2 linked regions of the Anolis sagrei genome follow. The protein of the gene in region 1 interacts with the protein of each later gene in a pairwise test. Links are inferred from orthologs where the notes say so. Each region holds a gene or a part of one and is shown in the gene's direction. Other genes may lie near its edges. The genes, in order: PUM2 and DAZL.

The links.
Region 2: the proteins of PUM2 (region 1) and DAZL interact in a two-hybrid assay, tested with the Homo sapiens proteins (2 studies listed by BioGRID and IntAct). The link is inferred for Anolis sagrei from reciprocal best matches to the Homo sapiens genes PUM2 and DAZL.

The regions. Positions count from the first base shown.
Region 1 is NC_090021.1:136,243,224-136,259,348, reverse strand, and holds the start of PUM2 (pumilio homolog 2), read left to right. Parts: upstream 1-8,984; 5' UTR 8,985-9,108; intron 9,109-16,125. UniProt on the Homo sapiens protein: Sequence-specific RNA-binding protein that acts as a post-transcriptional repressor by binding the 3'-UTR of mRNA targets.
Region 2 is NC_090026.1:88,917,465-88,933,804, forward strand, and holds the start of DAZL (deleted in azoospermia-like), read left to right. Parts: upstream 1-8,602; 5' UTR 8,603-8,759; coding exon 8,760-8,762; intron 8,763-14,981; coding exon 14,982-15,122; intron 15,123-16,340. UniProt on the Homo sapiens protein: RNA-binding protein, which is essential for gametogenesis in both males and females. Plays a central role during spermatogenesis.

The DNA.
Region 1 (16,125 bases):
GAACCACCATGAGAATTTCGGGGGGGGGGGGGGCTGAAGCCCCTCAAGCCCCCTTCCCCTGGCTACATGCCTGTCCCCAGGTGTTTTGGCCTACAACTCCCAGAAATCCCAGCCAGTTTACCAGCTGTTAGGATTTCTGGGAGTTGAAGGCCAAAACATCTGGGGACCCACAGGTTGAAAACCACTGGACTAGATCCTTGAATGGCAGCTCTCCAATGCAATGGTGGCAGTCTCAGTTTTGAATGCTAGGTAGGCTTTCAGTCTGATTCAAGATGGCTCTTTGTATATAAGCTCACTAACCATGAGATCCATTGTGTTATTTGTTTTCTCTCCAGCTTCTTCCTTTGCACAATTATGCCTTCTTATATGCCCCTTTTCTACCATATCTACAATAATCCTTCCACTCAGAGAAGATTTATTTAAGTGTCAAACAAGTTTTTTTAAGAGAGGTATACTCCTATGTTGCTGTTCAATTCTTTTATAACAAGTTAGGAATACTTGTGAAGCAAGTTATTATTACATAGGAATGCTCACTCCCACCATTTAATCAGCAACAGCATAACTGGGAGGAGTCCCCAAAAAGGCCAAGTCACTATTTCACTGCCAATGACATAATGTATGATAATACTTGAAACCGTGGATAAACAAACCATATATTTTGACTATATTGAGCCAGAAGCATACTATAGAATAGTGATGGATGATCAAGAGCGCTCCACAAACACTTCCAGGAGGGAATATTTTTGAGAGTCTGAATCAATGAAACCATGGATATTAAATCTGTGGGTAATGGGGGTTGAACTATACATAATTCTCTAGGGACAACCAAAAAATCTGCAAACTGTTAAGCTTTTAGATCGCTTCATCTAAAAGGAAGTGGAGAGGAAACGACATTAAATACTCACATTCTATCCATGTTCTCTCTATGATTCCCCTTATCTCAATTTGTACTTGTTTAACTGATATACTTAGGCAATCCCTCGTTGTCTGAATATGATGGCCTTCCAAGTGTAGTGTCTTGGCAGTGGATACGTAGGTGTCTATGGAGCCCTATTCTTGACCTGGATGTTCTTCCACAGTGAGGGCATTGGTTCCCAGGTGGAAGACAGTCCCGATCAGGATTGGCTTGATGCGCCTTTCTCTTGGTACGTTTCTCCCTATTGCCCTCAATTTGTGCCTCTTCGAAATCCGCAGCACTGCTGGACACAACTGATCTCCATTTAAAGCACTAAAGGGCCAGGGCTTCCCAATTCTTTGCTGCTTTTGCACAACAAACCTTAAATGATATGGAATGGCAGAGATTTAAGAAAATGATTTACCCCTGTTGGCCCCTTGTCCTTATCAGTTATATATGGTCCTCATGAATTGGTTGTTCCATCCTAACTGAAGGTTGTGTTGCAGTGACAGCTGTTTACAAAATAAGATCTTCTCAGGAACTAATATTAGATGGAAGTCTAATCAATATGTTGCCATAGAATCTCAGAATCATAGAGTTGGAAGAGATATCTTGGGCCATCCAGTCCAACCACCTGCCAAGAAGCAGGAAAATCACATTCAAAGCACCCCAAACAGATGGCTATCCAGCCTCTGTTTAAAAGCCTCCAAAGAAGGAGCCTCCACCACGCTCCGGGGCAGAGAGTTCCACTGCTGAACGGCTCTCGCCGCTAGGAAGTTCTTCCTTATGTTCAGGTGGAATCTCCTTTCTTGTAGCTTGAAGCCATTTTCTCCATGTCCGAGTCTTCAGGCCAGCAGAAAACAAGCTTGCTCCCTCCTCCCTAAGACTTCCCCTCACATATTTATACATGGCTGTCATCATGTCTCCTCTCAGTCTTCTCTTCTGCAGGCTAAACATGCCCAGCGATTTAAGCCGCTCCTCATAAGGCTTGTTCTCCAGATTCTTGATCATTTTAGTCACCCTCCTCTGGACACATTCCAGCTTGTCAACATCTCCCTTCAATTGCGGTGCCCGGAATTGGACACAGTGTGATTCCAGATGTGGTCTGACCAAGGCAGAATAAAGGGGTAGCACGACTTCCCTGGATCTCGACACTAGACTCCTATTTATGTAGGCCAAAATCCCATTGGCTTTTTTAGCTGCTGCATGACATCATTGGCTCATGTTTAACTTGATGTCCTTAAGGACTCCCAAGATTTTTTTCACAACAAACCATCAATAAACATGAAAAAGGAGGCATGCTGAAATAAAAAGGTGTCTTCTATCAACCCACTTCCCTTTGTGGCAACCTCATCTGATATGTGTCCCTTTCCTTCATTCCTTTCCTCTTCTCGTTCTGTCATTTCTCTTTCTATTTTTGGTTCTTCTTCCCTCCCCCATTGTCACTTCTGCCAACCCCAAACCTTCTTCCTCCCAACCCATAAAGCCTGGCGACAGTGAGGGAAGGCAATCATTTTATTCTTGCCAGATGTCTGAATTGATTGTTTTGAATGGACCTTTTGGTATTTGGCTAAGGGCCCGGTGTAGCCCTAAGGCAGCTGACCCCTGCTTTAAATATGATTGTTTGTTTATCCTCAGAGTGTCTTCTATATCCACCACTCAAAAATGGAACAGTAGAATTTGTTCAGATCATCTTTTTGTGCAATGGTATGCCTTGCTCCCCCCCCCCCTTTTTAAAAAAAAACATAACTCAATAAATATTTACACTCAGTAGGGCATAACAGGGCACTAAAGAAGGCTGGATTATTTAGGCATCAAAATGACATATTTGGGGATGTAAAGCAGAGGCCAACAGACTACACCCTGCAAAGAACAAAATTAAAGCAATTAATTGTAAGGGTAATAATCTGTGCTGAAAGACTCTGTGGTGTTGCTTCAGCAATTAGTACCATATAGTTATCTTTTAAACCTGTAATTTATCAATGTTTCTTCATCTCGGGGTTGGGGTTGTGGGCTTTTCTGCTGTAATCATGTTTTGCCTTGTTCTTGAGTATTTCCTACCTTCTATTTTTGATACAGGAGTATTTTTCATTCAATAATTGGATATTCTCTTTGAAAGTAATCTCTGCTCCATAAGATCCACAGAGGAAAAAACCCACCTCCTCATCTGCCTTAGCTGTTCATTCCTGCTTTAACTTCCTCAAAGTGACACTGAGCTCTTCTGGAAAATTTTTTTAGGTCTATGTAAATATTACAGGCCTTGGATAATTAGTATACTGCCAGTCCAATAGGAAGCTGGTTTTAAGCATGAGGATTCATGGAACTGAGGCAATAGTAACTCACTGAGACCACACAAATAAATGGAGAATTCAAAGTTTAATATGTTTATGAATATTTATAAATTGCTTAGCTCTGAAGACTTCCAATATGTGTAAATGCAGTAAAGATATACTTTGTAACAGCACATAAAATAAAAATATTTATCCTATTCATGAAAAACTCTGGTTGAAAAGTAATTGTCCCTCCACATTTACAGTTCTGGCTTTTGTGGATTTGATTATTCATGGATTTGATTAAAAATGCTCTCTCTAGGATTCTTTAGGTCCTTCAATGTGCGTCTATGGTCACCTTCCCCCAAATGCTGGAGGACCTGAGATTTCTAGAGAAAACATCTCTCTATGTCCTTCAATGACAGTGTCATATTGGAAGACCTAGAAATTGCTAGAGATGTGTTTTCTCAGGCTGTATCTACACTGTTTTATATCCCAGGGTCTGATCCCAGATTATCTGTTTATCCCAGATTCTCTGACAGTGTGGACTTATATAATCCAGTTCAAAGCAGATAATCTGGTATTAGATCCTATGATATAGGGCAGTATAGATCCAGCCTCAAGTAAAAAAAAAATCTAGTAATCTCTCTCTCCCCCCCCCCCATGTGTTTTCACTTTCTTAGGGGTTTTATGCCACTAATCCCAGCAAATATGGAGGACTGTAATTTACAGTTGTATAATATTTTATAAGTACCTATTCCAGCAGCAATTACCACTGCACTGACTTTCACATACGGCTAAAAACCATGTCCCAGAAGTAACTGGGATGAAAGTGGGTGGATATATCATATTTCAACAAAGTGTGGGCGGAATCAGGTTAACAGCTGAAAAGCATGTTAAAAAGGTGTGCTTTAAACCCCAAAAATGTGTACCTTCGTATGATTGTATATCCCTGCAGTCATGCAAAACATATGCTTTCCTTCCCCTGTGCAGACTGCTCTAGCACAACTGTACCTTTTGAAATCCTGAAACAGTTAATCAGTTCATCAGGCTGTCAAAAAAATGGGGCCATGGACACATAGGTGGCTCAAAGGAAGTACAAGTGGAAGGCAATTAGAACCCTCTGAAACTCTTTCTTTTGAACTTCATAATATTAAACAGAGCTTGAATTAACAGTTGAGTGAAGAGAGAAATAAGAATCTGTTTGTGTGTACATTAAGCACATATGAAGTTCAGCACATTACGAAGATAATAAAAAAAATAACTCAACTTCTGCCGGATGTCCCCATCCATCCTCCATCTTGATCCGCTTCAAAAGACTGACAGGTCTGTGTGCTGCCTTCTGCCAGGTCCCGTGATTTTTTGCCTCTCTTTTAAAGCACATCTTTTGGCATTGTTTGGGAGCATCCTTAAACACATTTTTTAAATTAAATAATGAAATTAAGACATATACATAGATTGCATCATCAAGGACTCAAAGGTGGGCTATGACCTTGCCAGTGACTTGTATCATGTCCTATGGAGCCAGAAACAGTGGGATAGGTGCCACTGCTTCCAAAAGGAGAGTTGCAGCCCGTAATTCACTCCTATTGTATTTCCTGTTATTCTTCCCTTCCTCCAGCTCCTTTGCTGCCTTCTTAACAATTTTCGTCAGTAATCCTGGAAGCTAAACTGAACCTCCAGACTCAGGGACCTGTGAGCTCCAGTTGCAAAAGAAGTGGGGAGAAGGAATGCTGTCGCTTTGTGTCCTGTTTATCTATTCCACGGGTGCATAGGCAAGGCTGCCACGGAAAGGAGACAATTAGCCCAACACGCTGAGCCTGTTTTGGCCTCTGTCACTTTTGATACACGCTTCCTGTTAGGTATGGGTTTCACAGGCCTAAATTTGACCTCAGTTTCCTGCCTGTCAACATCTCTGCTGGCGACAATAACCTCGAAGCGCCGATTGGTATGTAATTGTATACCAGCCTTCCTCAATCCAGGGCTCTCCAGATGTGTGTCATTACAATTCTCATCGACTCTGTGTTTTGGATGGGCAAGAAGGGCAGGAGCTCTAGTCCAGGACCTGGAGAGGGAAAAGGTTCGGCAAGGCTGATCCAAATTAGTGTGAATAAATACGCAAACGCCTAGCACAGCTGATGGTTTAGGAATGCCTTCTTTATTAAATGGTGTATCTCGTATTGCCAAACCTGCAGGTCACAGTTTGCCCGCTCCTTTACCAGGAAATCAGAGAGTGCTCAATTAACAATATTGTATGCTATTTCTCCCTATTTCTGGTACTAGTGGAACTAGTTAAAAACACCACAGACCAAAGGTAGAAGTGTGGCTGTATGATACCATTTAAATAGTGTAGAATTATAAGGAGCCCCCGGTAGCACAGTGGGTTAAACCACTGAGCTGTTGAACTTACATATCAAAAGGTCACAGGTTCGAATCTGGGGAGCAGGGTGAGCTCCCGCTTGTCAGCTCCAGCTTCTGCCAACCGAGCAGTTTGAAAACATACAAGTGTGAGTAGATCAATAGGTACCTCTCCGGTGGGAAGATAACGGCACTCTGTGCAGTCATGCTGGCTACATGACCTTGGAGGTGTCTAAGGTCAACGCCGACTCTTTGGCTTAGAAATGGAGATGAGCACCAACCCCCAGAGTCAGACACGATGGGACTTAATGTCAGGGGAAAACCTTTATAATGGGTAAAAGCCATCCAAAAAGGAGTGTTGAGGTTTTTATGAGTAGGTGTGATTCGTATTGTGATTCAGTTTCAGTTTGTACTTGGTAGTAGAATGTAACTGTATAGTTTTGGTATTATATATCACTGCTGCTTAAAGGATGTCCCCGCAGTTCAATGTTGAGATCAGCAAAAAATTGACCACAGTAAAAGCTTTCTGAATGCCACCCATTTACACGGATCTGTTAGCAAGTGGGATCTGCAGAAAATGCTCCAGCTGTGTTCTTCGAAAAGGAAAATCAGCCTATTTAGCAAGCCTTGCAAATGCTGATTTGTTATCAGTAAATGTTTGATTTTCATATCTATTTTATATCACTGTGTACCTGGAATCATGTAAAAATGTATCCGGTGGAAAGGGAGTCATGAGTGGAACAAGTTTAAGACACCTTGTAATATATCCTAAAATCTTGTTTGTTTTGCTATTGCCATTGTATTGTGTTCATTCTTTCCCAATAAAAAATACTTTAAAAAACATTCCAAGGCTTCTTACAAACATCATTAGCAGGCTTGTAAATTAAAGGTCATTCTTAATTGTTCTACTGGAATTGCTTACTTGGGAGCAAAACCAAGTGAATTAATCATTACATGTTTGGCATCAGGAATCCCAAAGAAATTCTAACACAAAACTCTCAGGCTCCTTCTACAGTGCGAGACAAAATCCAGATTATCTGATTTCAACTGGATTATATGGTAATGTTGACCCATATAATCCAGTTCAAAGCAGCGGATGTGGATTATCTGATTTGATAATCTGGATTACATGGCAGTGTAGAAGAGGCCTCACTGGCCAGTAAATCTAGACCAATTTTGTGAAAAGTAAGCAACGAGAGATGTTTACAGATGAGGAATGTTGAAACTAATACAGGTTGTTTGTTTGCTTTCTCCATGTTATTTGCTGTACTGTGAAGTACATAAATGCTGTGAATCTCCAATGTACTTTTATCACCAATATACACAAGCTAACAACACGTTCAATAAAGAATAATGAAAACGTGAATATTGGAAGGGCATCCGTTATTGGGAATTCCCAAATCTGAAGATGTCCATATAGGTGGCTGAGACAGTGACACCATTGCTTTCTCATATTCTAATGCTAATAATAATAGTAGTAGTAGTAGTAACAATTTTATTTCCTACCCGCCTCTCCTCATGCCATAGCTATCCTGTTATAATGTGACATGTCTTATTAAGAGCTACATCCACTCTATTAACATGGCAAGCTGTATTCCACACTGGGCATGCGTATTCAGCAACAGACTTGGAGTAAAACTTTACGTTAATATAGAAATGCAGTCATCAAACACAAATATAGACAAATAAAGACATTCTTAATGTGATGAAGTTTTATTGTATTGCAAAAATCGATTTTACTATATTAGGTAAAGGTTTTTTCTGACAGTAAGTCTAATTGTGCCCGGCTGTGGAGGGTGGTCATCTCCATTTCAAAGCCAAAGAGCCAGCATTGTCCGTAGATGCCTCCAAGGTCATGTGCCCAGCATGACTGCATGGAGCATCATTACTTTTTTGCTTGAGCAGTACCTATTGATCTACTTATATTTGCAAGTTTTCAAACTGCTAGGTTAGCAGAAGCTGGGCCTCACAGCGGGAGCTCATCCCACTCCCCAGATTCGAACCACCAACCTTTCAGTCAGCAAGTTCAACAGCTCAGCAGTTTAACCCCCTGTGCCACTGGTAATATTAATATTGAAATGCCGCCATCAAACACAAATATAGGCAAATAAAGACACACTTAATGAGACAAAGTTTTTACTGCATCTCAAACACCAATTTTAATGTATTATAAACACTATTTCTTCCATTTTTTGCCGATTGCTTGAGAATTCTGGATAACAGAGAATCTACTGCATAGATAGATGTCAATCCATCTGAATCTAACAGTCGAGGATCCCTGTTACCTCATAGAAGCCCAGGAGGCCATCCATATCTTCTGTGCTCAATCTACTCCCACACTGCCATCTCTTTTTTCTTTTGGGTCATGTCTTAATTAGACTGTAAGCCTTGAGAGCAGGGAGCTGTTTTGTTTGTAGGTTATTGTAAGTTTTCCAGGCTGCATGGGCATGTTCCAGAAGCATTGTCTCCTGACGTTTTGCCTGCATCGTCTATGTATTGTTGAAGGCTTTCATGGCTGGAATCACTAGGTTGTTGTAGGTTTCTTGGGCTGTGTGACCATGTTCCAGAAGCATTCTTTCCTGACGTTTCACCTGCATCTATGGCAGGCATCCTGTGGCAGGATGCCTGCCATAGATGCAGGGAAACGTCAGGAGAGAATGCATCAAGAACATGGCCATATAGACCGAGAAACTTACAAGAATGGGTTGTTGTAGGTTTTTTCGGACTATATGGCCATGTTCTAGAGGCATTCTCTCCTGACGTTTCGCCTGCATCTATGGCAAGCATCCTCAGAGGTAGTGGGACCTCACTACCTCTGAGGATGCTTGCCATAGATGCAGGCGAAACGTCAGGAGAGAATGCCTCTAGAACATGGCCATGTAGTCCGGAAAAACCTACAACAACCCAGTGATTCCGGCCATGAAAGCCTTCGACAAAACCTACAACAACCCAGTTGTGAGCTCTTTTATGCCAGAAGCAGGCCTCTCTGCCCTCTTGCCCCTCATATGGTGAATGCAATTGAGAACCGGAACTCTTTGTCTTGCTGAACGGCGAAGACCGAGCCTCTATGGCTTTGTTTTGTTTTTTTCCTGCTTCTTTCTGGTGAGCGGCTTGCGGTTCCTGCGCACGCGCAGGGAGGGCGAAGGGGCGGGGCAGGTGGCGCGTGTGTGTGCGCGCGCACGGAGGCACGCACGCACTCTCTCCCTCGGACTCCTCTCGAAAAAAGCCTGCCCCCTTTGTGTCCCAGCATTCACCGATTGGGGCCTGGGCGCGCATGCGCAGTAGTCGCTTGCCGCCGCCGCCGCTGCTATCGCTGCTGTTGCTGTGTATGTCTGTCCCTCTCTTTCTCTCTTTCACTCGCCATGTTGTTGTGAGTCTTCCTCACGGCGGCGGCGGTGGTGGAGGAGGAGGAGGCGGAGGGGGAGGGGCGGCCGCGGCGGTGGTGGTGGTGGAGGAGGCGGAGGAGGAGGAGGCGGAGGAGAAGGCGGCGACGGAGGGTAGGCGAGAGTGGCCGCGCGGGGCCATTATCGGCGCGAGCGCTGCTGCAGGCGGAGGGAGCCCCCCTCCCTGAGTCCGTTACAGCCTGTGAGTATTCCAACAGGGGGAGGGAAGCTGGGTGGGTGGAACGGCAGGGAGGCGGCGAGTGAGCGAGCGCGCGCGCGGAGGGTATTCCAGCCTCTTTCCCCCCCCCCCTTGCGCCCGTTCACCCACGTTCTATTGTTTCGACGCCGGGAGAAAAAAAAATAAAGGAGGGAGGGAGGGGGAGAAAGAGAAGGGAAGAGCCGCGGTGGCTGTGCCCTCCTCGCCGCTCTCCTCCCCCCGCGCGGGGCCTGCATGGTGGATCCGCGTTACGTCCCTTTGTGTTCCTGTGTGGAGGCGAGGAAGCCATACAAAGCGCCGCGCAGAGGTGGAAAGGGGGGGGGGGGAGAAAGAGACGAGGAGGGAGGCGGCCAGTGTGGGTGTGGTGCTGGAAGGAGCCAGCAGGGTATCTTTGGAAACGTTGCCATTGCCTTTCCCCCATCCCCAAATAATATAAAATGATCATCTTTATCGCACTTGATGTATCTCTTGGCTACACAGTTGTCTGACATCCACATAGAACTGGATTATATGGTAGTGTGGACTCAAGATAATCCAGTTCAAAGCAGATATTGTGCATGATCTGATTTGATATTCTAGGGGCCTTTCTACACAGCCAGAACATCTGCTTTGCACTGGTTTATCTGAGTCAAAACTCAGATAATGTGGGGTTTTCTGCCATAATATTCTGGGATATAGGGCTGTGTAGAAAGGCCCTCAGATAACCCAGTTCAAAACAGATAATGTGGGATTTTTCTGCCTTGCTATTCTGGAATATAGGGCTGTGTGGAAGGGCCCTAGATCACCCAGTTCCAAGCAGATATGGTGGGATTTTCTGCCTTGCTATTTTGGAATATCAGGCTGTGTAGAAGGGCCCTCAGATTACTCAGTTCAAAACAGATATTGTAGGCTTTTCTGCCTTGATATTCTGGGATATAATGCTGTGTGGAAGGGCCCTCAGATAACCCAGTTCAAAACAGAGAATGTGGGATTTTCCGCCATAATATTCTGGGACATAGGACTGTGTAGATTGGCCCTCAGATAACCCAGTTCAAAGCAGATATGGTGGGATTTCCTGCCTTGATATTCTGGGATATATGGTTGTGTGGAAGGGCCCTCTGCCCAGTTTCAGGAAGTGCCTCTGGCCCCTTCCACGCAGCTGAATAAAATCCCATATTTGCTTTACACTGGAATATATGTCAGTGTGGACTCAGGTAACCCAGTTCAAAGCGGATACTGTGGGATATTCTGCCTTGATCTTCTGGGGACCCTTAAATACAACCCCATTTCCCATAATATCAAGGCAAAAAATCCCATAATAGCTGATTTGAACTGGGTTATCTGAGTCCACACTGACATATAACCCAGTTTAAAGCAGATATTGTGGGATTTTCCACATTGATATTCTGGGTTAGATATCTGTGTGAAAGGAACCTCCATGGGCTTTGTCGCCTCCTGGGAGATGCAGCTCCAAAGGTGGTTAGGACAGGAGATTGCATAAGAGAGACAAGGAGATCCTTTTGGAAGTCGGTGGAGCGGAGTGTCAAGGGGGAAGGGGCCTTTCTGGTGGGTTTCTTCGAAGTGGCCTTCTCTTTGTGCAGCCTGTGGTTCAAAGACTGGGGTGTGTGCTCCCTTTGTAGGAGAAAGCAGTGCTTAGAGGCCTCCTCGGCTGTGGGAGGCGAAAGAGGAGCATCGCCGGGGCACTGGATTGGCCAGTGGACCAGTTAACCTCTTTTTCTCCCTTTGTTGTTTTGGTGGAGCCTTGCCAACAGGAACTGGCTTTGCGCGCTCAGCCTATTCTGACGAGGAGAGCTAAAACTGTAACAAGAGTAAACTGCGGGAATATTTGAGCGGAAGTGCGATTTCTGTAGTGGAACCTATCTGTTAGTTAGGCCCTCGCCGACATGAGATTCCATTTTGTGTTGTAATCTGAGGAAAGGATTGATGTGACAAAAGAGTAAGGTGGGGGAGAGTAGCTGTTAAAAGAAGTGGTGGCTAAAAATAGGAATCTTCTTGTGTTACACTGAAATTATTCTCCAGGGAAGTTGTGTAGAAAAAGGAAAGCTTTGGCCTACCCGTTGTTTCTTAAAAGTTTCATCGGTCCTATTTATTTTGACCATTTAATGCAGTTCCAAACTAGCTTCAAAATGCGGGGATCAGACATCAAACTCCCGCAAAAGTGAGCAAAAGTAACCTCTTAATGTGCACAAGTCTTTTGAGGTTTTTGTAATCTCCATCCGGGCCTCAAACTGATTTCAGGATTTCCTATTTAATCATCTGTACATCACTTTCATCTGTACCAGTTTGAAATAACATTAAATTGTCAGTTTAGATGGGGGCATAGTTACGGTAATCTGAGTCCCAAAGGGAAACTGGGTTGCTCTGTTTGTTGCAGCAAAACAATAAGGGTCTTCTGCCACTTTAAAGATTATAGCTCATTTATTATTGCATTACCTTTTAATAGCCGTAGACCACACTTTTATATGCAAAAAGAGTTCGTTAGAACTTCTGTTACAGTTAATAGACTAGATGCATTCTAGAGTATTACTTTAATATAAAGGTTTTATAACAGATGCAGAAATATCATGAAAGGCAGGCATCCTCGAACTGCGGCCCTCCAGCTGTTTGGGCCTCCAACTCTCAAAGCCCTAACAAGCTTGTTCAATTGTCAGTAATTCTGGGAGTTGAAGGCCCAAACAGCTGGAGGGCTGCAATTTGAAGATGCCGGATGTAAGGAATAGTCAAAGGTTCTTACACCAACACAAAAAGCAGTTTAACATGTTTTAGCAAACTTTTTATTTAAGACCGACAATGTGCAAATGAAATAAACCAAGCAGATCAGATCAGCATTTGGAATTGTCCAGAGATAATCTGAAAGTATTTTACAAAATGCATCTAAGGATATCCCCCCTGCCTCCCGACACTAGCTTCTACTTTTCTTACGATTTCCATTTTGTACACTGGGGGCCCTTCCATGTAGCCATATAACCCAGAATATCTGCTTTGAACTTGGTTATATGGAAGTGTGGACTCAGATAACCCAGTTCAAAGCAGATATTGTGGGATTTTCTGCCTTATATCATGGGCTATAGGGCTGTGTGGAAGGACCCTAGACTCACAAATCTGTGGTTTTTTAATATGCTAATGATGGATGATAAGGTCATATTTTTATTTCTCCTTTTCTATCTTGTTTCGCTATTCACATGTGATCAGTAAGGGATTCTGGAGGTAGCTGCAGTTTGCCATGCCTGTTGTGAGCAGACACACACAGTTACAGTAAGATCAGTGAGAACAAAATCCCTTTCTTTCCAACTGAAGCTTTACTGCAGTGTTTACTGCAGACATCTGGGATAATTCAACATTGTAAGAATGTATTTCTCCAGCCTTTTTTCACTGTTTTCCAACTTCTCCCTGTTGCATTGCTGCTAAAAATCATTCCAGTCAGGCAGAGAACAAGAGAGAGAAAAACTTTCTTTGTGGGCAGCTTTGTAATATGAGTTATGTCTGTTCGTACCCTAATATGGTTGGCGTAAGATTGTAGTATTTCTAAAAACCCCTCCCCCGCCTCCCAAATATCTATTCTCTGGGGGGGGGGAGGGGATTAAGAGAAATTTGAGCAACACTTTGCATATCTGCCGAAGTGTGTTATAATCTACAAAAGATGACACTGTGGTGTCTATTGGTCCTTTTAAAATACTACGGAAATTGGTTATTGCACTTAGTGATTCATATAAAACATTTGAGTAACCTTCATTCCTTAGAAAGGCTCTGTAATAGTTGATTATGGGGAAGGAAAGACTCCCAATTCATGAAGCTGATGTTTTGGGTTATTTTTGTATATTACATTTACATTTGTGGGGATATGTTTCTTCCTTTGAAGTATATTCTGTATTTCATTTGAAACTGTTTTTCAGAATATTTTTTTCAATTTATTATCACACACACACGCATGCTCTGTTCGTTTTGAGTGACATCAGTTACAATCCACTGGATGAATTGCCGCTCAGTTTGGTCATAAGAGCCCTACTAACCCAAGGAGTGACCATCACTCCAAATTTTTTTTGACATTTGGGAGTTGTTGCTTGGATTTATAATTCACCTACAATCAAGGAGCATTCTGAACTCCACCAACTATGGAATTTAACCAATTGTGGCACACAGAACTCCCATGAGCAACAGAAAATGCTGGAAGGGTTTGGCGGCCATTGACCTTGAGTTTGGGAATAGTAGTTCACCTATTTCCAGAGAGCACAGTGGACTCAAACAATGAAGGATTTAGACCAAACTTGGCACAAATACTTCATATGGCCAAATATGAACGCAGATGGACTTTGGGGGAAATAGACCGTGACATTTGGGAGTTGTTACTGGGATTTATAGTTCACCTACAATCAAAGAGTATTCTGAACCCTACCAATGATAGAATTGGGCCAAATATGCCACACAGAACCCCCATGACCAAAAGAAATTACTGTGTTTTCTGGTGGTCTTTGGCAACCCTTCTGACACCCCCTCAGGACGTTCCCAGGTTGAGAAATAATGCCTTAAGGCCATCCAGTCCAACTCCCTTCACCAGGGCAAGAAAACATAATCAAAGCCCTCCAGACAAAGAGCCATCCAGCCATAGATTTAGATAGATATATATGATTCACACACACACACACACACATATGTATATGACAGACATAGTATCACAAATTTGAAAGGGACCCCTAAAGAGGGACAGTAATATGTTCCATGTTCCAGAGTAGGCAAACCAGGCAATCTTTACATAAATACTGACAAAGAAACAAGAAATACTGTTTACCCACAAACATAAAAGAAATTACATATATTAGAAAGCAACACTTTCTCATTACTTTGTTTTCCAGATCACCAGACTGGGCCACAGCAATGCGTGGCACGGGATGGCTAGTGACTAATAATGTTACAGTAAAATTATGATGTAGAACTTCAGAAAGTAATTCAATAATGCAAAATTTCTTTCAGTTTTATGGTTTTCCTGATTGTGTCAACCTGTTTAGGTGTAGGGAAAATCTTTATACATTGTATTTCCAGAATCAGAAACATAAGGATTCTTTCTCTTTCCCTTTTGTGCTGCTGAAAAAAAATCCTCAGCTAGAATCTCATGAGATTTCAGAAGATATTTCCTTTAAACTCCATACAAGATGTATTGCTCTCAAAACACTATTAAAAATCACAGCACATTAATGGCCATGTATAAAAAGGAAAATATCCCAACTTATCTCCCTTCCCAGGAGGTCTTTGAAAATTACATGTATTTCTTCTTGGACTTGGTATGAGGTTTACTTATGAAATTGAAGAGCCATTCAGAAAGAGGGGAAGGATTAAGCTAATGATCCTCTACCTGTGGGTCCCCAGATGTTTTGGCCTACAACTCCCAGAAATCCCAGCCAGTTTACCAGCTGGGTTTCTAGGAGTTGAAGGCCAAAACATCCAGGGGTTCTCCAGTTGAGAACCACTGGATTAAGCTGAGACAGGCACCAAGGGATTAGATGGAAGCAGAAGGTTAGAATTTGAGGCCCAGCATTGAAATAGAAAGCCCCCATTCCAGCTTCTTTGTCATCTCTGTATATGCATAAGCAAAAGAGTAAGGGCAAATCTTTAATCCTTAATGCTAGATATCTCCTACCCTCTGAGCCATAGTAGCTAACAAGAAGAGATGCTGTTGAGTATTTTTCTCCTTCCCTCAATCTCAAGCCCAGTCAGCATGCCAGGATCCCATATTTTTCATGAGGATTCCTCGTTCTTGGTGTTTTGTATGTGTTAGGCCATTATTTGGATTCTAGAGTACACTTCACATAGAAAAGATGATGAGGGGCTCCTGTAGCCAAATCATTCAGGAGTGCTGCTGCTTATGCCAGTAACTCTTTTAGCCCAGGCTTCCAGCTACTGAACATGGCATTGACAAATAGCAGACTTAACAAGCCTGATCACCTGCTCCCTGCCAGGAACACCACAAATTGTTGCATAGCTTTCAGTCATGAAGCTTGCAGAACTGCAGGACTCTGCCTAAAACAAATATATATTGATTTAAAATTTTACAAGAAAGTAAACATAGGTTTAAAAGTTAGTTTTTAAAACTCAGACACAGAAAGGGGGGAAAACCATTTGTAAATTTTCAGAAGAAATGAAACTAGTCTGGCTTGTCTTGGACAAAATTATTCCTGTTGCGTACCAGCTTTACTACAGTTCTGCTTGCCTCTTGGGCTAGTGGTATGTGCAGTAGGGTCTCTGTTGAAGATTTGAACTGCCTATGGCTTTATAGGTCAACAAATCATATATACTTGTGTATACATTAATGTCATGTATTAGTTGAGGAAAGGTTTGACTGTCAAATTATGGATTTTGATATGATTTGTGGCAAATTGGAATGTCATTCCTTGCAGTGAGGAAACAGCTAGCTCTGCTTCAGGGGACCAGCCTCTTTGGCTGCCTCCACCACCACCATTTTCCTGCCTAGGCATCCAAACAGATCTTTTGCCACTCTTTGAGATGTTTCCTATTTTGATAAAAGTTCAGACATGGTTTTAATTCCTGCCAAAAAAAGGTGGTGATTGTAGGGAACCATTAAAATTGCAAAATTAGTCCTTCCTAAGAAAACCTAAATAAATCACAGGCTGCTTCTCACCACTCCTGGGAGGAGGGATGCCAAAGAGCCGATGCCTCCACCATCATTTTCCCAACAAGGCATTCAAAAGGGCCAGAGAGAATAATTTTGGGGGGGGGGGGGGATCTTTTTCTCAAGCTGTAGCTTCTGAATAGTTTTTAAAGGTAACCCCACATAGATGTTGTATTGTAGTATTGTGATTGAGAGTTAATTTGCTTTCACTAATACTGGGTGAAGGTGGTACAGCAGCTATTGGTCAGAGATGTTCCTTTCCATAGCACCTTCATAAATAGGTTTACTACACCATGGTGGAACTTCTCGTATTCTGGTGATGATGGTGTGTATTCTTTAACTGCATGCAACCACATGTATGGAAGATCTGGAACTTAGTG
Region 2 (16,340 bases), on another chromosome or scaffold:
CTTTTTGTCCATCGCTTATCATCTCCTTTCTGTCTCAGCCAAATTTTTGTTTTCCTGACAAAGCAGATCTATATGTGGGGTGGGGAGGAAAATGTATATTTAGAATAAGATACCTGTTCTTAAGGGGGAGGTTTGGAAATAAATACAGTTTGGTCAGACAACTTGAAAGGATCAGCAGTAAATTGCCTTTAATGGCACAAGTCATGACTTACTTTTTTTTAAAAAAACCTAATGTGTAGTGGGAATTCACCTTTTCTCTGATACTTTTAAAATACATGCTACAAATATTTATAGTTCTCAGGATTAAAATCTCAGATTGTTTCCCCTATACTTGGGGTGTTGATTATCAGTTAAAAAGGTAAAGGTTTCCCCTGACACTAAGTCTAGTCCTGACTGCATGGAGCTCCGTTACCATCCCACAAAGGCAGTGCCTATTGATCTACTCATATTTGCATGTTATCGAACTGCAAGGTTGGCAGAAGCTGAGCCTAACAGCGGGAGCTTCCCGGATTTGAACCACTAACCTTTCGGTCAGCCAGTTTCGGTCAGCCAATTCTGGGGTTTGTAGTTTAGTGAAGCTCCTCCCTAAACTAAAGGCTCCTCCCTAAACTACAACCCCACCCCAATTCTGCAGGAGGCAGCAACCAGATTTAAAGTGGATTCATTCTCTAGTGTGATGAGAGTTTTAAACTCTCCCTCTTTTGCATTGTTTTATGCCAGTTCAGCGGTTTAACCCGCTGCGCCACCAGGGGCCCCTAATTATCAGTTACTTATTGAAAATTAAGCGAGGAGGAGCTGAGGAGCCTTCTAATCAAGGTGAAAGAAGAAAGCACAGAAGCTGGGTTGCAACTAAACATCAAAAAAAAATCAAGATTATGGCAACAAGAATGATTGATAACTGGCAAATAGAGGGAGAAAACGTGGAGGCAGTGACAGACTTTGTATTTCTGGACCATAAGGAAGTCTGAGCGAAGGAAGATGCTTTTGAACTGCAAGAAGATCCAACTAGTCCATACCCCAGGAAATAAAGCCCAACTGCTCATTGGAGGGAAGGATAGTAGAGGCAAAGATGAAGTACTTTGGCCACATCATGAGAAGAAAGTAAAGCTTAGAGAAGACAATTATGCTGGGGAAAATGGAAGGAAAAAGGAAGAGGGGTCAACCAAAGGCAAGATGGACTGAATTGACCTTAAAGGAGCTGGGAGTGGTGATGGCCGACAGGGAGCTCTGGTGTGGGCTTGTCCATGAGGTCACGAAGAGTCGGAAACGACTGAACAAACGAACAACAACAATTGAAAATTAATGGCAATCCAAATTCTATCAGTATAAACAACAACAAAATATATTTATACATATCGGTTTAAGTAGCCAAGGAGCCTATTGGGTGGTCCAGCATTCCCAACATTCGACAACACACTGTGCCATTATGATTAGAGGGTCAGAGATGTTGAAAATAATGTGATTTTGATGGACCTGAATGTGAGAATACAAATAATTCAGGGCAATTGCAGAGCCAAATGCATACCCAAAATGTTAACAAACTTCAAGGTTAGAAATAGGATTTAAGGGAAAATCTTTTTAAAAGATTATCAGAGACTTATAGCAATGCAAATATATACTTCCAAAACTACTGACAATTTGTAATGCTATTACTGTATGTTTCTTATCGTGCTATGCGGCTCTGATTATTCTGCCTACAAATCCAAGAAAGTAATCTCCAAAAATTGTATATTCTGCTGTTTAATTTCCGAATCCTTCCTTCCAAGGTATTTTAAAAGATTTTGCATTATCTTGTGCCTTCCTCTGCCAAGCATCTCATTTTCTATTCTTAACATTCTGTTTACACCATAGAGTTGGAAGGGATCTTAGAGAGCATCTAGTCCATTTTCCTGTTCAATGCAGACTTGTAGCCTCGATTTTCCAGATAGAAACAAAACAAGGGTAGCCAAGCAGTACCAGGGGATGGTTAAGATGGCAACAGTTATTAATAATAAGGAAGGACAAGTTAGAAATTGGCTGCTTTTGCCTGTGGGAAAGGTATGATTCTGCCTCTCCTCTCCACTAACTGATTACAAAAAGATTTCTACTAATTGTGTGAATTTCAAATCATTGTGAAACTGGATTGCTGTGAGTTTTCCGGGCTGTATGGCCATGTTCCAGAAGCATTCTCTCTTGACATTTCACCCACATCTATGGCAGGCATCCTCAGAGGTTGTGAGGTTTGTTGGAAACTAGGCAAATGAGGTTTATATATCTGTGGAATGTCCAGGGTGGGAGAAAGAACTCTTGTCTGTTTGAGGCAAGTGTGAATGCCATTGATCATCTTGATTAGCATTGAATAGCCTTGCAGCTTCAAGGCTTGGTTGCTCCCTGCCTGAAGGAATCCTTTGTTGGGAGGTGATTAGCTGGCCCTGATTCTTTCTTGTCTGGAATTTCCCTATTTTTTAGTGTTGTTCTTTATTTACTGTCCTGATTTTAGAGGGTTTTTTTAATATTGGTAGCCAGATTTTGTTCATTTTCATGGTTTCCTCCTTTCTGTTGAAATTGTCCACATGTTTTTAATGGTTTCTCTGTGTAGTCTGACATGGTAGTTTTTAGAGTGGTCCAGCATTTCTGTGTTCTAAATATATGCTGTGCCCAGGCTGATTCATCGGGTGTTCTGTTATGGCTGACTTCTCAGGCTAAATTAGTCTGCAGTGCCTTTCACGTACCTTGATTCATGTTTGGGCAATGCTGTGTTTGGTGGTCCCTATGTAGACTTGTCCACAGCTGCATGGTATACAGTAGACTCCTGCAGAGGTGAGAGGATCCCTCTTGTCTTTTACTGAACATAGCATTTGTTGGATTTTCTTAATGGGTCTGTAGATGGTTTGTAGGTTGAGTTTTTCATCAGCTTCCTTATGTGCTTATTCCGAAGCAAGTGCATACTGCAATCTTTGAATACTTTTTTCTTGATCAGTACACCCAATGGATCATGGCAAGCTGCTTTTGAAACAGACAGAAGTTTCAAAAGATGTAATTATATCATATGCTAAAATAAAAGAACAACAAAGAAAGTTTCTGTTGAATTGGTTCAAGCATTTTGTATTTGACTTTGAATCTTGGTCATTCTCTTTAGTTTGAAATTAATTGGATTCAGAGGGATGTATTGACACAGAACTGCGGCCATAGCAGGCACTGGGACATTCTGATTAAACAAATGGGAAAACTACCACTAATAAGATCCCAAAGGGGGTTTAACAGCCGGCATAGGCAATGCTGGTCCAGAGACAGAGTAAATGAGATCATTCCAACAGAAGAATTTCAAAGGGAGAGACCACTGTGAAACAGTTGAATAATTATATAGATTTGGAATAAACAGAAGCAGAAAAAAATGAAATATAAAGATAGAGAACGGGGGCGCCTGGCTTGACAGAAGTATGTGTTAAACATGAACCAACAATGTCTTGGGTGGCAAAAAAGCCAATGGGATTTTGAGCTGCAACAGAACAAGTATAGTGTCTACATCAGACCACACTTTGAATAATCTGTCCAAATTTGGGCACCTTAATTGAAGAGAAATGTTGACAAGCTGGAATGTGTCCTGAGAAGGGTGACTAAAATGATCATGGGTCTGGAGAACAAGCCCTATGAGGAGCGGCTTAAAGAGCTGGTCATGTTTAGCCTGCAGAAGAGAAGGCTGAAAGGAGGCATGATGGCCATGTATAAATATGTGAGATGAAGTCATAGGAAGGAGGGAGCAAGCTTGTTTGTTGCTGCCCTGGAGACTAGGACGCAGAGCAATGGCTTCAAACTACAAGCAAGGAAATTCCATTTGAACATTAGGAAGAACTTCCTGACTGTGAGAGCTGTTCAGCAGTGGAACTCTCTGCTCTGGAGTGTGGTGGAGGCTCCTTCTTTGGAGGCTTTTAAACAGAGTCTGGATGGCCATCTGTCAGGGGTGCTTTGAATATGATTATTTGTTTCTTAGCAGGAGCTTGGACTGAATGGCCTAAGAGGTCTCTTCCAACTCTATGATTGTATGATTCTAAGCAATAGTCCTGTGCTACCACAGGTCACTGACCAACACAGCTATTTCTCTGGAAACTGACCAGCTGTCTCTCAACAGATCATTGCATGGACAACCACTAAAATTATATTCAAAACTAGCCGTCCCCTGTCACGCATTGCTGTGGCCCAGTTTGAGCATATGTGTTTTTGTGTGTATATATATTTGTGTTTATGTAGTTTTGCGCATGCATTGTAATGTTGTTGGGGTTTGGGTTTTTTTGCTTTTTAAGTCTCTTCTGCTCTCTTTTTCAGTGTTTTTATGAGTGATGGTCACTCGTTGGCCTTATAGGTGTATTGTGCCTGAATTTGGTGTCAATTCATCAAGTGGTTTTTGAGTTATGTTAATCCCACAAACAAACATTACATTTTAATTTATATAGATTATACAATTTTTTTCAGCACTTGCATAAAAAGAATAAAGAAACATTAAGAACACATAAAAAGGCTGAAATGAAGATTAAAACATGAGACTCTTCATTTTTAACACGGATTTAAATTCAAAACATACACTATAAACATTTAAGAAAACAAAGTTAAACAAATTAAAATATTTACAATTGTAAAATGCTTTTATCATTGGGATTTGACGAAATCTAATAATCTTGACCCTTGTGAGACAAGAAATAGAAACTACAAATGTTATTTGCTGGGTTAGTTTCTCTAAATGTTTTCACTTGAATCAACATTATTTAAATGGCGAACAAGAAATAAACAGTTTCTATGCAGTGTTTACTTTTTAGATTAACTGATTATGATCTTTCTAACAAGTGTGCATTTCATGGTTCGGATTCACAAATAAATTACCTAAAATGGTGTAGTTCCACCTTGACATTTGTCCATTCTGATTTGGATTATTGCACATGCATTTCCTTCCCTCTCCTAAGTATATTCTTCAATATAATCCGACTTCAACTCGAGTATGAATTGTGCTGCCAGGAGGAAGCACACTAGTAAAGGAATCACTGAATTAGAAGTTCAGAAAAAGTATGATTTTGCATGAGTAACACATGTGCCTGCTGAATATATCTACCCACTTAAAAACCTTAAATTGGTGTCAATATGATTAAAATTAATCAGATCCATAGAGCTGCAATACTAGTGTAGAAATCAATTGCAAAGAAACCTAAGGCATGGACATCTACTCTTCTTTTTACAAGCTTTAGAAGAAAAATCTACAATCTTCCTATTCTACTTTTAGACAAATTTTACCACCAAGAGGTTCTACCTTTGGAGACTCCTTTCTTGTAATTTGAATCCACTGGTTGAGTTCCTCTAAATCGGCAGAAAACAACCACACTCTTTCTCTTTCTGATTACAGACCAACAGGTTGCATGTTCAAATCCAGGGAGAGTGCAGGTGAGCTCCCTCTTTCAGCTCTAGCTCCCCATGCAGGAACATGAGAGAAGCCTCCCACAAGGATGGTTAAAAAAAATCAAAACATCCAGGCATCATCTGGGCAACATCCTTGCAGATGGCCAATTTTCTCACACCAGAAGCTACTTGCAGTTTCTCAAGTCGCTCCTGATATGACAAAAAGGTAGAAGGAACCATTCTCTCTTTTCATATTGATTTGGGAACCTCCCCTTTCACTAGGAATTCTGTCTTAATTCCCAAAACAAGAAAATTTGTTTTATCTGTGTGGTAGAGGATATATGACAAGTTGTGAAAATTACTGTTGTTCCTTAACACATAATATCTAATGACATCAGCAGTGATTGAGTTGGGATAATCCTAAACTAATAATCCAGCCAATTTTCTCACACCAGAAGCTACTTGCAGTTTCTCAAGTTGCTCCTGACATGACATATATGTTGAGTTGTAGTTCAGCTACATCCAAAGAGCACTGTGGACTCAAACAATGATGGATCTGGACAAAACTTGGCATGAATACTCAATATGCCCAAATATGAACACTGGTGGAGTCTTGGGGAAACAGACCTTGACATTTGGGAGTTGTAATTGCTGGGATTGATAAAGGTAAAGGTTGTCCCCTGACATTAAGTCCAGTCATGTCTGACTCTGGGGTGTGGTGCTCATCTCCATTTCTAAGCCGAAGAGCCGGCGTTGTCCATAGACACCTCCAAGGTCATGTGGCCAGCATGACTGCATGGAGAGCTGTTACCTTCCCGCCAGAGTGGTACCTATTGATCTACTCACATTTGCATGTTTTTGAACTGCTAGGTTGGCAGAAGCTAGGGCTGACAGCGGAAGCTCACGCCTTTCGGTCAACAAGCTCAGCAGCTCAGCACTTTAACCCACTGTGCCACCGGGGGCTCCCGGCTGGGATTTATAGATCACCTTAAATCAAAGAGCACTCTGAACCTAGCCCACAATGGATCTGCAACCCCAGAGAACATGGTGGACTCAAACAAGGATGGATCTGGATCAAACTTGGCACAAATACTCAATGGTCGCAGGTTCGAATCCAGGGAATGGGGTGAGCTCTTGCTGTTAGCCCTAGCTTCTGCCAACCTAGCAGTTCGAAAGCATCCAAATGTGAGATCAATAGGTCTGCTCCAGTTTCCCAAGTAGATCCATAGGTCTGGGAAGGTAATGGCGCTCCATGCAATCATGCCGGCCACAAGACCTTGGAGGTGTCTATGGATAACGCCGGCACTTCGGTTTAGAAATGGAGATGGACAAAGACAACCAATAATGACCAGAGTAGGAAAGGACAATGCCGATGCTAAATGGTTTACGGACTTGGATTTGGTGAACACTGACCACAAGATGTTTTATTGCTGCTAGTATACTGTATGATGGTTTTAATTAGTTATAACTGTGATATTATGTGGTAAATTTGTGTATTGTATAGTGTATTGTATGTTGTAATTGTTAGGCATCGAATTGTGCCTTTTGTAAGCCACCCTGAGTCCCCCCTAGGGGGTTGAGAAGGGCGGGGTAAAAGCACTCCAAATAAATAAAATAAATAACATTTTGTTAGTTTTGGCCCATCTCTCTAATCCGTCAAGATCGTTTTGAATTCTGCTCTTCTTCAGGCTAAGCATACCCAGCTCCTAAGCCACTCCTCATAGGGCTTGTTCTCCAGACCCTTGATCATTTTAGCCGCCCTCCTCTGGGCACATTCCAGCTTGTCAACATCTCTCTTCAATTGTGGTGCCCAGAATTGGACACAATATTCTAGATGTGGTCTAACCAAGGCAATCACAAAGTGGAGTATCTTGCATTTGTCACTGTTGAACTTCATTTTGTTAGTTTTGGCCCATCTCTAATCCGTCAAGATCGTTTTGAATTCTGCTCTTCTTCAGGCTAAACATGCCCAGCTCCTTAAGCCGCTCCTCATAGGGCTTGTTCTCCAGACCCTTGATCATTTTAGCCGCCCTCCTCTGGACACATTCCAGTTTGTCAACATCTCTCTTCAATTGTAGTGCCCAGAATTGGACACAATATTCCAGGTGTGGTCTAACCAAGGCGGAATAGAGGGGTAGCATTACTTCCCTAGATCTCGACACTAGGCTCCTATTGATGCAGGCCAAAATCCCATTGGCTTTTTTTGCCGCCACATCACATTGTTGGCTCATGTTTAACTTATTGTCCATGAGGACTCCAAGATCCTTTTCACACGTACTGCTCTTGAGCGAGGCATCCCCCATTTTGTATCTTTGCATTTCGTTTTTCCTGCCAAAGTGGAGTATCTTGCATTTGTCACTGTTGAACTTCATTTCTTGCATTGTCACTGTTGAACCAAGCGTTCGGGTAAGCTGGCAGATGGACAAAGACAACCAATAATGACCAGAGTAGGAAAGGACAATGACGATGCTAAATGGTTTACGGACTTGGATTTGGTGAACACTGACCACAAGATGTTTTATTGCTGCTAGTATACTGTCTGATGGTTTTAATTAGTTATAACTGTGGTATTATGTGGTAAATTTGTGTATTGTATAGTGTGTTGTATGTTGTAATTGTTAGGCATCGAATTGTGCCTTTTGTAAGCCGCCGTGAGTCCCCCCTAGGGGGGGTAAAAGCACTCCAAATAAATAAAATAAATAACATTTTGTTAGTTTTGGCCCATCTCTCTAATCTGTCAAGATCGTTTTGAATTCTGCTCTTCTTCGGGCTAAACACGCCCAGCTCCTTAAGCCGCTCCTCATAGGGCTTGTTCTCCAGACTCTTGATCATTTTAGTCACCCTCCTCTGGACACATTCCAGCTTGTCAACATCTCTCTTCAATTGGGCACAATATTCTAGATGTGGTCTAACCAAGGCAATCAAAGCACATTCTGAACTCCACCAACGATTGAATTGGGCCAAACTTCCCACACAAAACCTAGATGAGCAACAGAAAATAGTGTTTTCTGGGGTCTTTGACAACACCCCCCCTCCCCAGGTTGAGAAACGCTGTGGCCTAACCCAACCCCAATATGTGTAACATTTTAGTAAAGGCTTAAAAGGACGCCATGAGTGTGGATTTAGGCCTCAACCAGGCCCCCCTCCCTCCCTCCCTCCATGGGAATAAAAAGTCCCGGCTGGATCCCTGTCTAAGGAAGGCGAGTTGGGTGTGGCTTGAGCCTCATTGGGCCGGGCCTTCCCAACCTGCCGCTTAAAAGGACGAGGCTTGTGTTTTGAGGGAAGGAGGTGTACGTGTGGGGGTTGTTATTGGTCTCTTTTGTGTGTTTTGGAGCCGGGGTTTGGGGAGCACGTTGGGGAACCCGCCTGTGACCAAGGCCGCGCGCGCGTGGGCAGAGATGGTGAGTCGTCGCGCAGGGAACAACGCGCCCAAGGAGTTGTAGGTCTTGTTTTGAGGCGCAGGGAGGGGGACAAAAGAATGAATAGGCCCAATATGGGGAGCCTAGTAATGGCTGGAGAGGGTCTTTAAGAGCGCCTCGCTTCGAAGGGTTTGAGGGAGAAAGCGGCTGAAGGAGGGACGATGTGGCGTTGGGTGGAAAAGGCGGGAAGCCCTCGCCACGCCTTTGAGGGGAGACGGGAAGGCTTTGGGGCCTATGGCGGAGGAGTAAGTGCAGAATTCGATAGGCGCCACCACCATTTTGTCTCCTCAGGCACACTCTCATCTCGACGGTCTTTGAATGCACTTCGAAGGCGGCTTCAAACTGCCACCAAAAGCGCGCCAAAGCAAGGCCCCTTCACGCGCGCCATTGCTTTGGAGTGTCACCACCAGTTAGACCTCAAATGGGCGCAGCAAGATCCCTGGCTTCAATCCACTTTAAATGTGGGGGCTCTGGTTCAGAACAGTTGAAAGCCACACTGGCCTTCCCAGATCGTCTTGGGTTGGGTCTACACCAGGCATGGGCAAACTTGGGCCCTCCAGGTGTCTTGGACTTCAATTCCCACAATTCCTAACAGCCTCAGGCCCCTTCCTTTTCACCCCCAGCCGCTTAAGCGGCTGGGGGTGAAAAGGAAGGGGCCTGAGGCTGTTAAGAATTGTGGGAATTGAAGTCCAAGACACCTGGAGGACCCAAGTTTGCCCATGCTTGGTCTATCCTACCTGAACTGCAATATATAGTCGTTGTAATGCCCTTCAGTCTTGGGTAGTAACCGCCTATAATGCCCTTCAGTGCACTTTAGAGTAAATTATAAAGGTCTGTATTGTATAGTCTTGTGTAGTAACCTCCTGTAATGCCATTTAGTGCATTAGGGAAAATACACTAAATTAAGAAAGTATATATTCTTTATTATATATTAAGAAAGTATATATTCAATAGTATTGTGTAGTAGCCTCTTGTAATGCCTTTCAGTGCAGTTCAGAGTACATTATGAAGGTCCATATTATATAGTTTTGTGTAGTAACCTATACTGTCCTTCAGTGCAGTTCAGAGTACATTGTAAAGGTCCATATTATATAGTTTTGTGTATTAACCTCCTATAATGCCCTCCAGTGCAGTTCAGGGTACATTATAAAGATCTATATTATATAGTCTTGTGTAGTAACCTATACTGTCCTTCAGTGCAGTTCAGGGTACATTATAAATATCTATATTATGTAGTCTTGTGTAGTAACCTCCTATAATGCCCTTCAGTGCAGTTCAGAGTACATTATAAAGGTCCATATTATATAGTTTTGTGTAGTAACCTCCTATAATGCCCTTCAGTGCAGTTCAGAGAATATTATAAAAGTCTGTATTTCGTAACCTATACTGTCCTTCAGTGCAGTTCAGGGTACAATATAATCTATATTATATGGTAATGTGTAGCAACCTCCTGTAATGCCCTTCAGGGTATATTATAAATGTCTATATTATGTAGTCTTGTGTAGTAACCTCCTATAATACCCTTCAGTGCGGTTCAAGAGTATATTATAAAAGTCTGTATTTCGTAATCTATACTGTCCTTCAGTGCAGTTCAGAGTACATTGTAAAGATCTATATTATATGGTAGTGTGTAATAACCTCCTATAATGCCCTTCGGTGCAGTTCAGAGTATATTATAAAAGTCTGTATTTTGTAGTCTTGCGTAGTGACCTATAATGACTGCTCTGCAGTGCAGTTCAGAGTATATTAAGAAAGTCTATATTCAATAGTATTGTGTACCAGCCTCTCGTAATGCCTTTCAGTGCAGTTCAGAGTACATTACAAAGGTCCATGTTATATAGTTTTGTGTAGTAACCTATACTGTCCCTCAGTGCAGTTCAGAGTACATTATAAAGGTCTATATTATATAGTTTTGTGTAGTAACCTCCTTCAGTGCAGTTCAGAGTACATTATAAATGTCTATATTATATAGTTTTGTGTATTAACCTCCTTCAGTGCAGTTCAAAGTACATTTTAAAGGTCCATATTATATAGTTTTGTGTAGTAACCTATACTGTTCTTCAGTGCAGTTCAGAGTACATTATAAAGGTCCATAGTTTTGTGTAGTAACCTCCTATAATGCCCTTCAGTTCACTTCAGAATACATATTTTATTTAATCATTGTGTAAGGAGCGAACCAAAACAGTTGTATTGCATTACAGACAAACAAACAAAACACAAAGTTTGCAGACTTGGTATTCTATTAGATGTCCTTTGACCAGCAGCTGGCTACTTGGAGTGCCTCTGGTGTTGCTGCAAGAAGGTCCTCTATTGCGCATGTGGCAGGGCTCAGGTTGCATTGCAGTAGATGGTCTGTGGTTCGCATGCCGTGGATTCCACTTTGTAGCCCCATTTCTTAAGGTTGGTTCTGCATCTCGTGGTGCCAGAGCGCAGCCTGTTCAGCGCCTTCCAAGTCGCCCAATTTTCTGTGTGTCCAGGGAGGAGACTCTCATTTGGTAGCAATTGATTGAGGTTCTGGGTTTGAGCCTGCCACTTTTGGACTCTTGCTTGCTGAGGTGTTCCCGCGAGTGTCTCTAGATCTTAGAAAACTATTAATTGATTTAAGTCATTAAATCATTCAGAGTACATTATAAAGGTCCATATTATATAGTTTTATGTAGTAACCTTCTATAACGCCCTTCAGTGCAGTTCAGGGTACAGTATAAAGGTCTATATTATGTAGTCTTGTGTAGTAACCTCCACTGCAATTCAGAGTACATTATAAAGGTCTATATTATGTAGTCTTGTGTAGTAACCTCCTATAATGCACTTCAGTGCAGTTCAGAATACGTTTTAAAGGTCTGTATTATGTAGTTTTGTGGAGTAACCATCTATAATGCCCTTCAGTGCAGTTCAAGTGGCATTATAGGGGTGTACACCAGGCATGGGCAAACTTCAGTCCCCCAGGTGTTTTGGACTTCCAGCTCTCACAATTCCTAACACCTGGTAGGAATTGTGGGAGTTGAAGTCCAGAACACCTGAAGGGTTGAAGTTTGCTTATGTCTGCTCTGCACTGATCATGTCAGTGTAGATCCAAGCCTTGACTTATAGAGAATGTTTGCGGGGAAGGCCTCCAATTGATGATCTGGCTGCCTGCGGTTAATTTTAGGATATGAGGATTAATACTTTTTGACACCACTACCATGACTCCATGCTGTGGAATCATGGGATTCATAGTTTGGTAAGGCCACCAGGATACAGACGGAAAAGGTGAAAGACGTTGTGGAACCACAACTTCCTTGATTCCATCCTGTGAAGCCATGGTATTTATATTTAAAAGTCGTGACAAACTGCATTAATTCTGCCCCGCTTCATCGCTGCAGTCTTTAATGTGCTTTAGTGTGCTTACTTAGAAGTAAGCCCCATTGTCATTGCTGGGTGTTACATCTAGGTAAATCCTTGGGTTCAAGCCAATTTCCAAGGGTGCATCTGCACTGTAGAATTAATGCAATGTGACACCACTTTCGCTGCCATGGCTCAGTGCTATGGAGTCATGGGATTTGTAGTTTGGTGAGGCACCAGCACACTCCTGCAAAGGAGGCTAACAATCTCCTGACAACTCCCAGGAATCCATAGTATCAAACTTGATAAGACAATTAAAATTGTGACAAACTGCATTAATTCTACAGGGTATCTGCACCCTTGGGCCCCATCTAGAATGAACATTTAATGAAGTTCAAAGCTAGCTTCAAATTGGCAGCCAGGCAACTACCTTCCACAAAAGTGTGCCAAAGAAAGCTCTCAACGCTCTCTGGTTTTTGTACCTCAAACTGATTCCAGGTTTTTCTGTGTCATCATCTGCACAGTGAAACCACTTCTTTCAATATTGATTTGAAATTGCCTTGAAACTGGACTTGCAGTTTGGTGAGGCGCCTGCCCTGTTGAGCAGACAAGACTAAAACCTTGTAAAGCCGTAACTCCCATGATTCCATAGTATCAAGCCCCGGCAGTTAAAATTCTGACAGACTGCATTAATTTTACAATGTAGATGCAGCCTTCATCTCTGAAATCTTCATTGTGCCTACTTGGAAGTAAGCTCCATTGTTATCATTGGGGCTTAGTTCGAGGTTATAGGGTTTGAACCAATTTCCAACTGAAGCACCTCCAAGTTTTACTGTAACCCCAAGCCTCAACCTTTCCTCTCCTTGTCCTCTTATCTAGTTGGAAGTTTTTTTAACAGCATCAGCATTGGGAATTCCAGTAGTGAAGGATGTGTGGAGAAACACAGGCTATTGGTGTCAGGTTGCAGCAATTTGTCTGCAATAAACAATGTAATAAATGCTTGAGTTGCAAAGTATGCCATTTTACCCTTAACTGTTCCTATTCCAGCTTGTTTGTATCTGCCTGCAACACTTAAGATAAACAGCAGGTGCCTGCAGAATCCTTTACTAAGCATTCATGAACATCAACTTAAAGGCAGCTGGCTATCCAACAAATTTGTTTAAAAAAAAAACCAGATCTGTAAGTTTGGCCACCAAAATTGAAATCTACAAAGTGGAAGTAGATGAAGGATAAAGTGATCCTTGGATGCATTTTGAAAGAAGCCTTCAAGTGATCTCAAGAAGATTCCATATATTTTTGTCTTTCTGGAAGGCTTACATGACCTGATTGGTTTCATTTCACATGTGCATGTTATTTTGGATAAAAAGTTTGCAAACCCACAACGAACTGCTATTTTGTGGTGTAGTAACCAGTGCTAATTCTTTCCATTTTATCTCTGCCTCTGGCACCCACCTATGTTCTTAACCTCTGTGCCTGTATTCCTAACTAGGGTTTTGGGAAATTGCTGGTTAATGCAACTGGAGTTTAACTGCCTGTAAGACAAATTGGTAACACTCATGAGGCCTGATGGGAGAAGTTTGTGTGATAGATTTTTTTCCAGGCTGGTATTTAGTGAAATTTGTCAAGTTACAGAAATCTGGCTGCTGGTGAGGAGTTGTACCAGCTATTAATAGTATGGGATCAAAGAACACCTGAAATACTCAGTATAATCTTTTGAACTTGAAAAACTGTAATGTTAATAGAGATAATAGTTAGAAAATATGGTCTATAAAAAGATGTGTATAGATGAGATTTTAGTGAAACCTGCAAGTCGAATGAAACTGACCAATATAGGCTTTTATGTTCATATTATAGACAAACCAAAACTTAATGGTTTTCATATTAGCATCTGTGCCACTAATTGCATTTATTTATTTTATGTCAAAAGCATTACATAAATAAGTATAAAACTGATAAAATAGAGGGAGCACAAGCAGCTAAATAATTTTAGACCAAAAATGGGCAACAGCAACGCATTGTCTGTGCCTTTAAACAGTTCTTCCTTTGCGCATGAGGCAGGTCATTGTAGGCAAGCATACACATGCGGTGTTCGTTTTGCCATTTTGTCAGGTTGTCTTTTGATCTGTCCACTCCACTTCTGAGTCTGTTCAGGGACTTTCAAATTGGCCATTCTTCATTTGCCCCTGTGGGAAGACCCTCAGGGGGGCGGGTCATTCATTTGGGATTTCCTGTTTTAGCTGCCCAGAGTTGCTGTTGCTGGGAAACATTAAGAGGAGTGGTGATTCTCAATTAGCAACTTCCCGCCGCACATTGGGGGGAGGGGGGGGCAATGCCAGCTAGCTTATACAGTCTATAAACAGATGTGGGTTTGAGACATCCTGTGATTATTCTACATGCTTTATTCAGTGCTATATTCACCTGTTTCATGTGGACAGACTTGTGCCAAACAGGGCAGGCATATTCAGCAGTTGAATAAGACAAGGCCAGGGCTGATGTTCTTATTCATTTTGGGTCTGCACCCCATGCACTGCCAGTAAGTTTCCGCAGGATGTTATTGCGAGCAGCTACTTTGTACTTTGTGTTCATAGTGTTTCTTAAATGTTAGTGTTTGATCTAAGGTGACGCTGAGATATTTATGATAGGAACAGGTTCGAGCTCTTGGCCTTCCCAGGTAAATTTCAATTTCCTGTTGGCTTCATGGTTATGTAGGTGGAAGGCACACACTTGTGTCTTGACAGGGTTAGGCTTCAAGTGGTTATCCTTGTAGTAATGTTGGCATTGCTTTACTAATTGCACTTATACCTGTGAGATATTCAAATACATTTCCTAGCCTAAAGTGTGAAAATGTCTTTTAAGGAAATCTGTTTTATTGCTTTGCAGTCTGCTGGAAGTCAAGATGCTCAGAATGCAAGCATTCCTAGGGACGAAAGCACTCAGTTGCCTGCAACAAGCCAAGGATATGTTCTTCCTGAAGGGAAAATCATGCCAAATACTGTTTTTGTGGGAGGAATTGATATAAGGGTATGTTTGTTGTTGTCATGTGCCTTCAAATTGCTTCTGACTTACTACAGTCATAAGGTATGGGGTTTTTTTGGCAAGATTTCTACCGAAGTGGTTTACCATTGCCTTTATCTTAGTTTTGTTCATGACCATCTCTGGATCTTCATGGTCCAAGAGGGATTTGAACCTTGGTCTCAAAGTCCTAGTCTTGCACTCAAATCACTACATACTGGCACTCTATATAGAAACATAGAGACCAGATGTATGTATCTATTTTATATTGAATTGAATTTAATGTCCTACTTCATCCTGAGGATCCAGCAGTATATTTAATGATGCAGCATTAGATAGATCTGGTTTGGTAGGCCAGAGTTCCACCCCAAAAATGCAATTAAGCTTTATATAGAATTCTTACAAAAAACATTTTGTAGTAGTAATTGAGCAACAAAAGACTATGACATAAATGCAATCTCAACAATAAAGAACAATTTCTATTTCCAAAAAAATCACACTTGTTCTTTGTGTCTTATTCTGGTGTTCTAGCTGTTAACATTGGTAGAATTGTTTTGTACCTGTATAACTTGAAATTGCTACAAACTTAGAACATTTTCTGAACAAACTATTTTCTTCAACTTGGCTTTATCACTTTCTGATTTTCATGTCCCTACAACTGTTCGGTCTCTTAAAATAATCACCCCCTCAAAAAAAACCTTGGATACTTTTGTTTCAAAATATGATAAGACAAAACTGTTTACTAAATTATACCCAAAGGAAATCAGTTACTTTTTCTTGGTTTGATTTTCCTCTTAAATTATGAAATTTCTAGTACCCTCAATCCATCCTCCCTGCTTCCACAAGATTAATAAGGGTTAATTCCTTTTCCCTAATGCAGGCATCCTCAAACTGGCCCTCCAACTGTTTTGGACTTCAACTCCCAGAAGACCTAGTCAGCTTGTTCAATGGGAGTTGGAGGGCCACAGTTTGAGGATGCCTGCCCTAATGCATTCAGACTATATTTCAATTCTTTTTTTTTCTATTTTCTCTTGCCTTCTTAATTTCGCCCTAAAGTACCCATGGTCTAGCCTCTTCATCTAAACTTGTTTGACAGTTTTATTTCTTACTTTATTCAACAATAGTAATTTATTTGTCATGGGGGTATAAATTCCTGAGAGTTCAGTATTATTTGGGAGCTTTCTAAACAGTTTTGAAGCAGTGCTTCGGAGAACTGTGACAGTATTA